2 linked regions of the Schizosaccharomyces pombe genome follow. Changing the gene in region 1 together with any one later gene gives a genetic interaction. Each region holds a gene or a part of one and is shown on either strand. Other genes may lie near its edges.

Region 1 (4,565 bases):
TATAATAGTATTAATTAAATTATGAGACATGTACCAATGACCAAGTTCGTGACCAAGAATTGCAATAAGTTCCGGTTCCGTATGATTTTTCACAAGAGTATCAAAAAGTACAATTCCTTTGTTCCATGGAAGCCCATAAAAGAAAGCGTTGGAGTGAGTTGATCTACGACTAGCATCAATCACATAAAGCTTCTTCAAGGGAAAATTGATACTGGCAGCTAACTCTTCAATTTGTGTTCTAAGACTTCCATTTTCAAGCGGTGTAAACTTGTAAAACAAGGGCATAATTAGAGAAGGAGCAATAGTTTGTAAAATGAGGCCAAAAACAATATAGGCACCCCATGCATACATAATAAAATTATCACCAAACTTGGTCAAAATTTTAACGAAAACACCAACGACAACACTCATAAGTAAACCACCAAGGCTTAATTCCTTTAAAAGATCAATTACGAAGATCTTTAAAGTCGATTTATTAAAACCATACTTTTCCTCGATCACAAAGGTTGAGTAAAGATTGAAAGGAATTTGAATTAAACGAGAAAACAGAGTAAGTCCAAACATGAAAACACAGGAATGCGTAATCGAAGTCGATAGACTAAACCTTGAGGATGAAGCAGCTAATTTATCCATCCAAGGAAACTTAGTGATATTCCAAAGGTATGAAAGTCCATCATATTTAATAATCAAAAGATCAACGGCTAAAGTAAATGTGGAAACAATAGTAGAAAACCAACTTTTATCACGAGCATAAGACAATGCTTTTTGGTACTTTTTTTCATCAACGTGTTCAGCTAAAATAGCAGGAGGCTTTTCTCTCAACAAATATGGCACTTGCCTGCGACGAAGATACAAATCCCAGGCATACTTTCCAATAGAAAATCCAGCAATTACTATTTTCCAAGGGAAGCCTGGAATGTCTAAAATGTGCATCAAATGCTATAAAAACGTTAATACAAAGTTTTAAACCCCAAATATATTCATAAAAAATCAACTAATCGTTATATACCTGTAGAATTCCCATTTTACAACAATTGGCAAAACTTCTTGTAGTAGGCTTTGGTGTAGCTTGTATGACTGAAATTTCTTTTAGGAAGCAAAGGCCAGGTGACATAAATAGAGTTCAACTATCGAAGAAAAAACAAAAAGAAGTAATCAAATAGCTTTTTGCGAGAAACATATTGTAACATTCATGTTGCACGCATGCTACCTTGGTGTGCATAAGACCTAGACATTTAATACATAATTTGCGTCCATTAATTCAGTTAAAAATGGATTGTGATTCTGTAAATATTTTTAACAGGCATAACGCATATATCATAGATAACGAAAATGAAATCTCAACTTTTCTTTGTCTATTTAGCCGTTGCATCAACAACATTAAAATTGCCAGATGAAATTAACGAAAATAAAGAATTGGAATATGTAAGTAAAGATAAAATTAATTTTATCTTGAAAAGAACTCGGTGAAGTTATATTCAGAAGCTAAATACTACTATAACAGTATGCTTTTTGGCGGCTTCTTAATGCCTTGGACATGAATTGGAATTCTATTCAAACTAAGCGCAATAGTCTTAATAACTCAACCAGCATAATTAAATTTTAGTAGTTAATGCAGGCAGTTAGTATAAAATGTGTATACAGTTGTTGCTTTATAGTCAGCTAGTTAGCTAATTGTTATAATTAAGCAAAGTATGTAATAATTCGATGTCATCTCATTCGTACAAAACATCTGATTTATAAAGTGTATACTCAGAAGCATATATAATAATTTGGAATGGATCATCGTTATTTTCTATATATTTTGCCATCTTAGCTAAAGATTTTAGTGTAAACTTTGCTAGTTATTCTCCTATTTTCTTTCTGCAGACAACCATATACAGGAAAGGCATTGAAACTTTTATAATATATCATTACAGGCAGTTTATTTCTTTAAAACAGAAGCATATATAGAATAATTTGTCTTGACTGTAATTATATACACTAATTGTGCTTTTCGAGAAGGTATTATTTATTTGACCTCATAAGTTGATGCTCGAATCACGACTTGCGAAGAATATAGCAAGGATTGTTCAGGCCCGTAAGCCCTATTTAATTTCTTATCATGTTCGTGCTTCTACTCAAAATGCCTTACTCAAGCAAACCGTTTTGCAATCTAGCAGCTTCAAGAGTTTTCCTACTCTTCCTAGACTAGCAGCTAGGAATATTTCAAACAGTGGGATATTGTCCCGTACTACACCTGTAATTATTAAGCAAATATCTATGGTTAGAAGTTACTCGTCTGGAGATGTTGAAAACCCTGAGATTCTCAACAAAAATGAATCAAATCAATCTTCCGGCGTTAAAAGGGCAATGCCATTTCGCGTATTAAAAAAAATGAAAAGCTTTCTTTTTAAGCAAAACAAACCCTTAACAGTGGATAATGTTACTGCCTTTTTCAGTTGGTGGCTTGTGAGCCATATAGTTTGGATCGTAGTTGGTACAACAACTTTTTTTTCATTGTTATTGTACACCTTAAACACTGTTTCTGCACAGGAACTATTAGGAAGATGGATTGGTCAGTTAATGACAAAAAATACAGGGTTCCAATTCGTCTTTGAAAGCGCAATTGTTCCCAATTGGAGGAAAGGATTAATCACATTCAACAAAATTTCCGTAATTAGAAGACCTGATACTTTGAATGGCATTGGAGCACAAAATCCGAATAATAAGTCTGATTATGAAAAAGAGTACATGGCTTTACGAAAACGTTATGATTCTAATGAGGAACCTGACACTGAGGCTCTGAGTCAGGGAAACTATACTCAATTTGAGTTATCCATTGATAAGGCAGATGTTTCGTTTAGCTTTGCTAGGTTTTTAAATGGTAAAGGGATTGTTAAGGAACTTCAGCTGAAAGGTGTTAGAGGTGTAGTTGATAGACGGTTTATTGAATGGGATCCATCCTCCGATCCTCGTGATTACCGTCGTAAACACAACTGGGGGGATTTTGAAATCGAAAAATTTAAGCTAGAGGATTTGCGTGTTACTTTATTACAACCTAAAGGTTTTCGGAAGTTCCCCGTTAGTGTTTTCTTTTGTGAGCTTCCTAGGCTTAGAAAACAATGGTTATTTTATGATTTAATGAATGCTAAGACTCTCACCGGAAGCTTTGATAATAGTATGTTTACTATTCATCGATTACAACTTCGTCCATATTCACCGTACCTAAAAGTCGGTAAACAACTCGATGATATGCGACATAGTCGCTTGCGTATTGATAATGTCGCAATCGATCATCTAAATCGAGGTGTTTCGGGAGCATTTGGATGGATTAATGATGGCAGTGTTGATTTTTTAGTTAATATTTCTTTTCCATCAGAACCTTCGGAAAATTCTTTCCAAAAAGCGTGGATAAGTTTGATGGACAAATTGAAAAAGAAAGAAAAAGATGAGGATGTTTACAAAGACGTTCACTTTGATGTTAATGTGCAATTACATAATCCCAAAGCCGTAATTCCTATTTTTACAAATCAAGTAAGCTATATCAACAATGCTTTAATTCGACCTATTATTGCTTACATTAATTCCACACGGACATTCATCCCTATTCTTTGTCATGTATCAAAACCGCTTTCTGACTTTGATGGAAGCTGGACTTTTTACGACAGTGGTGTTTTACAAGAAATTTCGGCGCAGGTAAGTTCTACCCTGTTCCTTACTATAAAAGAGCGTCTTTTCCTAAAATTTAAGAGTAATTTACGCTTTTGAATATTAATAAATACTAATTTTTGATGTAGGTGTATGAATCGTTTGCTCGAGATGTATTAAATCAAGAGATACGAAGAAAACGAATTCAGAAAGTTGGCTACTGGAGTCTTCGGAGGTTTTTGCATTTAGTTTTGGTTTCTTTGCAGGAATTGGCTCCGACAACTTCTTCAATCAGTAATTTCGAATAGTTAAAAGTGATGCTATTTATTATTTACGGTTCTGATTCTCTTCATGAAAGGCTTTTTTGTTCTATCGGTAGTTAAAATTATTATAATAACAATTATTATTTTTGAAAATTGACTAGGGTAAACTAATGACTTAAGCTACTAGCCATATAAATGTCTTATCAAAATTGGCATTTCTGGATCATTTATTCATAACAGGCTAAGGTATTAAATTAAGTAGTCTTATATATATTCGGTAACGAAATTATTTTTACAAACACATTATCTTTTGATACTCAAATTTATTTAGGATGTTGAGAGGTTTGAAATTTAATTTCAGTTCTATCATGCTTTTGGTAATTTTCACGCCTGGCAATCATTTCATCCTGTGATTTAGAGAGTGCGGATGCATAGACGTTTTTATGAAAGTCCGTTGGATCCCACATATCCTTAGATATCATAGTTCCTCTTGGCTCCTTAATATCCAGAAAATCCTGCAAATTATCAAGTAACTTTGGGTTTCTGAAATTTTCATTTTCTGATAGTCTCGTATGAAAATGAATGCCCTTTGCCTTTAATTTTATAAATTGCTTTATCTTTTTCTCCAGCTCTGTGTCAACTTCAGCTTTAGGAGAATTTGGGATTTTCCAA
Region 2 (4,432 bases), on another chromosome or scaffold:
AACGATTTAACAATAAATCCAAAATAATTAACTACGCAAACAACCATTAATTTGAGAGTAAAGTTCATACAAGAACTGAGACTCAAGGTACGCAGAAGTTCAAATAGCAAAAATACTTACTGAAGATACCGGTTTCATTATAGAGGGCTCTTGAGAAATTTCCGTTGAGCTGTTCATTGACATGATTGTATTAAAGCCACATCCGTTAGGAGTAATAAAAAGAAATCAGAATGAAACTCGTCAGTAATATTTAAAAAAAAGGTACTAAAATATTGTTTTGGTTTCCTAAGGAAAGCGCACTGGAGTAGCTCGATATTCTTGCAGTTATGAATCGTAACGTAATTGCGCTATCCAAAATATACCGTACAAGTTGCACAAATTAACCCTTCTATTTACTTAATTTTTTGCTAAATGAATTAGTAATGCAGCAATCTCATTTACTTCATAATGTCTTCAATTACTTACTGCTGATAGTTGATAGAGCACGAAAACAATGCCAGTTTGTTAATGTTAATTTATTACATATCGGTTGTATGCTGATGTTGCTGCATGCTGAATTTTAACACAGAGCGCATCCCTCTAAACTTCTCGACTATCATCAAGTCAGTCGTGAAGCTTTCAACTGAATAAACCTATGCAACATAATTTCAGCTTAAAAGCTATTAATTAGCTGATCTTAAGTAATACAAAGTAATATATCAAATCGTAACATCCAATTCTTCCCGTATGGTTTGTCTTATTTTTAATAATAATATCCTTATGATAAAACATCTACATGTGATATAAATTATGCAGAATAATAAGTGTAAATGGAACAGAAGCCATCAAATTACAGCAGCTCACTCAACTTTTATATCATTCTGTTAAGGTCCAAAGGTGACGAATGAGAAGAGTGATTAGTATCGTTAATTTCGGAAGTTTGGTTTTGAAGATAAGAAGGATCATGATGAACGACTGTCGAAGACTCTACCAAAGTAGGCGAATTCTGAATTTCTTTGGTTGTAGCCAATGTTTTAGTGGAAAAGGATGAAGAAGTTAGTGAATGGGCATGCCTGTGTAAAATTGAACTGCTTGGTCTCTCATGAATTGTTGCACGCGAGCGAGATGGAGCCAAAATGCGCAAGTTTGAAGGAGGGCGTTGATTTATTGACGAAGGAGGGCGACGGTTGATTGATGAAGAAGGACGAACGATATTAGCCGCTTTAGTACGAACATTGCCTGTAGTTGTCCTCGAAGAGAGAGTGGATTGAATGCGAGAAGGTGAACGAACACCTAAAGAAGTACCTGGACGAACGATTTTAGCTGATGAATTTTTCACATTAACTTCTCTCTGTTCTAATCTTGAGGGAGTACGCGCCTGCGCGTTACGTGAAACAGGTCGTACAGCTAATGAAGAAGCTACCCGAACAGTTGAGTTAGAAGTGGCAGAGACGTTGGGTCTTTGAGTATTGGACGCAGAGTTTTCTCTGAAGATTCTGGATCCCGGTCGGACAGTCTGAGCTGCACTTACAGGACGCACGATCTTGGTCGATGCGTTGACTTTTACTTTGGAAGGACTAGTAGAATTCTTTGAGATACTTCCGGAAGCATTTGTTACGTTAACTCTAGATAATGGACGGGTGGTGGAAGTCCTTGTGGGTGGACGAACGACAGAAGAATTTCCGAGAGAACGAACAGAAATTCGAGGAGAAGCTGAAGGCTTGTCGTTAGAGCCAGGAGATTTGACGACGGGGCTATCATCCGACTTTGCATTGAAGCCGACCTTTGGTGAGCGCACATTCGGGCCATTACCAAGGCGTGATGGTGAACGAACTGCCATTGAAGATTTCGCTCTCGGAATAGCAGCAATTCTAGCATTTGAGGACATTCGGGCGATAGACGACGTTGAAGGTTTTGTAATAGTAGCGACATGTTTAGAGGTCGTTACAGAAGGAGATTCCTTGGAAGAAATTGAATTCTCATGTAGTGATGCCTCTTTGGGAATGCGAGGTGCGTTATTTGATAACCTGGCCAAACTAGTCGAGGGTCGAAGACGTTGAGAGGGATTACGAATATTCCGAGCTTTGGCTCGTACATTATTAGTCTTTGAAGTAGGATTAGATATTTGGGTATTTCCTAATGACTGGCCTTGGGTAACCCGAGATTGAGAGGTAGGAACTGATGGTGAAGAAATGTTTACTTGCTGTAAAGAGGCACTTAATTTATCAATAGCCGAGGATTCCTCAGTATCCATTACAGAGTTCTCACCTCCATTATGAAGTTGTGAGGTGGTAGAATCCGTGAAAATCGACGTAGAATGCAGTTCCTTGAGAATATTCGATGTTTGCATTTGTAGTTGCTCCAGTCTTTGAAGCATATTAGACTCGGCCTCTGCCAAAGGCTCTTGGCTTGGTGAACCCGGCATTGGCAGAATAAAATTGAATAAGACTCGCAATCAACAACCCTGAATGCACAAAAGAGAAAGCCAAATACACTACACCGTTAGCTGGTATCGCCCAACACTAGGTAGCAATAACAAACTACGTCCTATATTGTTAGTGTATATATAACGAATTCTATTAATCCCCGTAAAACTCTTGCTACCTGATGCAAACAAATAAAATTACCTTCATAAGTGCTGCACTGTTTACATATTTTCTATCCAGCTGACCGATTCTTTTCAATATATGTATTCATTTGACCATAATAATTATCGTTAAATTGTGATTGCTATGAATATACTTTTCCGTTCCCTCCCAGATTTCTGTTCCCGTTGTTTTTCCAAAGCAAATCATTGATGGGAGAGAGCAATGTGAAAATTAAGATGCAAGTGTACAATGAGAATAACATGTACACATTGAGGAAACCCGCTATAACTCTTCTTCCACAGCATCATACCGATTCTACAAATCTCCCGTAGTGGTAAGTACTACGAAAAATGTTATAGTAGAAATATCATTTGAAGAGTTTGTTACCAACTTTTACGACTTTGGTATGTCGTTATTTGAATTAATAAAAGTGATAATGCTTTGTGTGCATTTTTGGGCAACTATCTAGTTTATTTGTTCATTCGGTTCATTCGTCTCCTATGTACCGAGGGAATGTCAAGGAGAGTGTTACTCCCAGTCACTGCTCAAGGTGTGCAAGTTACCTTCGGTTCCTTATTAAATTGACATCAAAGACGGTTTGCAAATGTTACCAGATATGGACGTATATATACATAGAATACCCCAATTAAGACTTTGAAATTCCGTCTTTCACTTTTTAGTCTATATCTATTGTTCAGACTAAACGCAGGCTTAACGCCTTGTCCTACTCCCTTCGCTTCATCTTGTGCTACTCTATTGATGAGTATTTATTAATTTTTCCGCTTTCTTTTGATTAATTCATTCAGCGGTTTGTTTTTGTTTTTCCATCCTTTGTTGTCTTTCATATCGTTTTATTTCGTTCCTTTTTTTTTAACTATCTCAATTGGGATAAGCTTTATTTTTCGTAATTGTAATAAGCTCTAAGAAAACGTTCCCTACTGTTTTACTTTTTTTTATTACTGTTCACTTTCTATTTCCTACTCACGGTTCTCTTGCTTTGCTTCCTTCGATAAAACTAAGCAAGTTTGATCCTTTATTTATTCAATTGTCGGCTTCTAAAACTTCGTCTGTTCGCATAATTTCATATCTCGTTAGGGTAACTTCTTTCGGACGGAACACTAAAGATTTCGTTTACTGATTATTTTCTGTTTACAGTCTGGACTTTATACCCATTTCTAAATAAATTAAACACCCGAAATATCACTACAACCCTATATCCCATTAATCCCTTGGCTATTTGGATTATCAAGCTTATTTATTATTCTCAGGTTTCTCTAATTTTGTGCATAATTCAAGTTTGAAAACATTTCGTGTAATTCAAAAAAAAAGTTTCCCTTTGTTACATATTTGTCGAATTATTTTCTCATTAAAACCTTTAATCCCATCACTTCACCTTTGATTGTGATTTGTTTCCATTTTACTTTTATTTTCTCTTTTTCTTAAAATTTATTACCATGCTTCCACATCAAAATTCCAGTTATACCCGTCAAGGCACTAATGATGCGCAGGCAAATGATATGCGCAGTCCATCGCAACTTCCTACTTCTGTCAACATTGAAGATCCCTCTAAGTTATGTATATCGAGTGAAAAATTAAATACCCCTATGCATAATCGTTCCCGTTCTGGTATTAAGAAACATACTTCTGTCAAGCGTTCTCGCTCCTTCAAACTATTTGATACACTTTTCTTTGGTATTCTAAGGCTCCGTAAGCAACGGATAAGGTCGGTTAAAAAGGTACGATCAATTTCATCTCCTGTCTTAATCAGTACTACTTCTGCCTTGGCTTTGGCTACTATTGAACAACAGCCAGTAATTGGGGAATGTTCGTGATTATTTTGTGCACATGTCAGCATAATTAAATAA

The links.
Region 2: mutations in mdm31 (region 1) and mmb1 together harm fitness more than expected from each alone (negative genetic interaction), as found in Schizosaccharomyces pombe (one large-scale study listed by BioGRID).

The regions. Positions count from the first base shown.
Region 1 is NC_003424.3:1,935,449-1,940,013, reverse strand, and holds mdm31 (protein Mdm31), read left to right. Parts: upstream 1-1,865; 5' UTR 1,866-2,031; coding exon 2,032-3,678; intron 3,679-3,779; coding exon 3,780-3,938; 3' UTR 3,939-4,051; downstream 4,052-4,565. Other genes in the region: ste24 (putative CAAX prenyl protease), read right to left, coding at 1-939, 1,010-1,024; mug151 (transcriptional regulator HCNGP-like protein), read right to left, coding at 4,217-4,565. UniProt on the Schizosaccharomyces pombe protein: Involved in the organization of the mitochondrial membranes and the global structure of the mitochondria. Also required for mitochondrial distribution and mobility as well as for the maintenance of mitochondrial DNA nucleoids structures.
Region 2 is NC_003423.3:2,608,188-2,612,619, forward strand, and holds mmb1 (mitochondrial microtubule binder Mmb1), read right to left. Parts: upstream 2,454-4,432; 5' UTR 2,357-2,453; coding exon 851-2,356; 3' UTR 501-850; downstream 1-500. Other genes in the region: BTB/POZ family ubiquitin-type ligase substrate adaptor Btb2, read right to left, coding at 121-183; SPOM_SPBC25B2.08 (uncharacterized protein), read left to right, coding at 4,022-4,399. UniProt on the Schizosaccharomyces pombe protein: Involved in the cell polarity process and in regulation of microtubule growth. Has a role in meiosis. Involved in microtubule dynamics.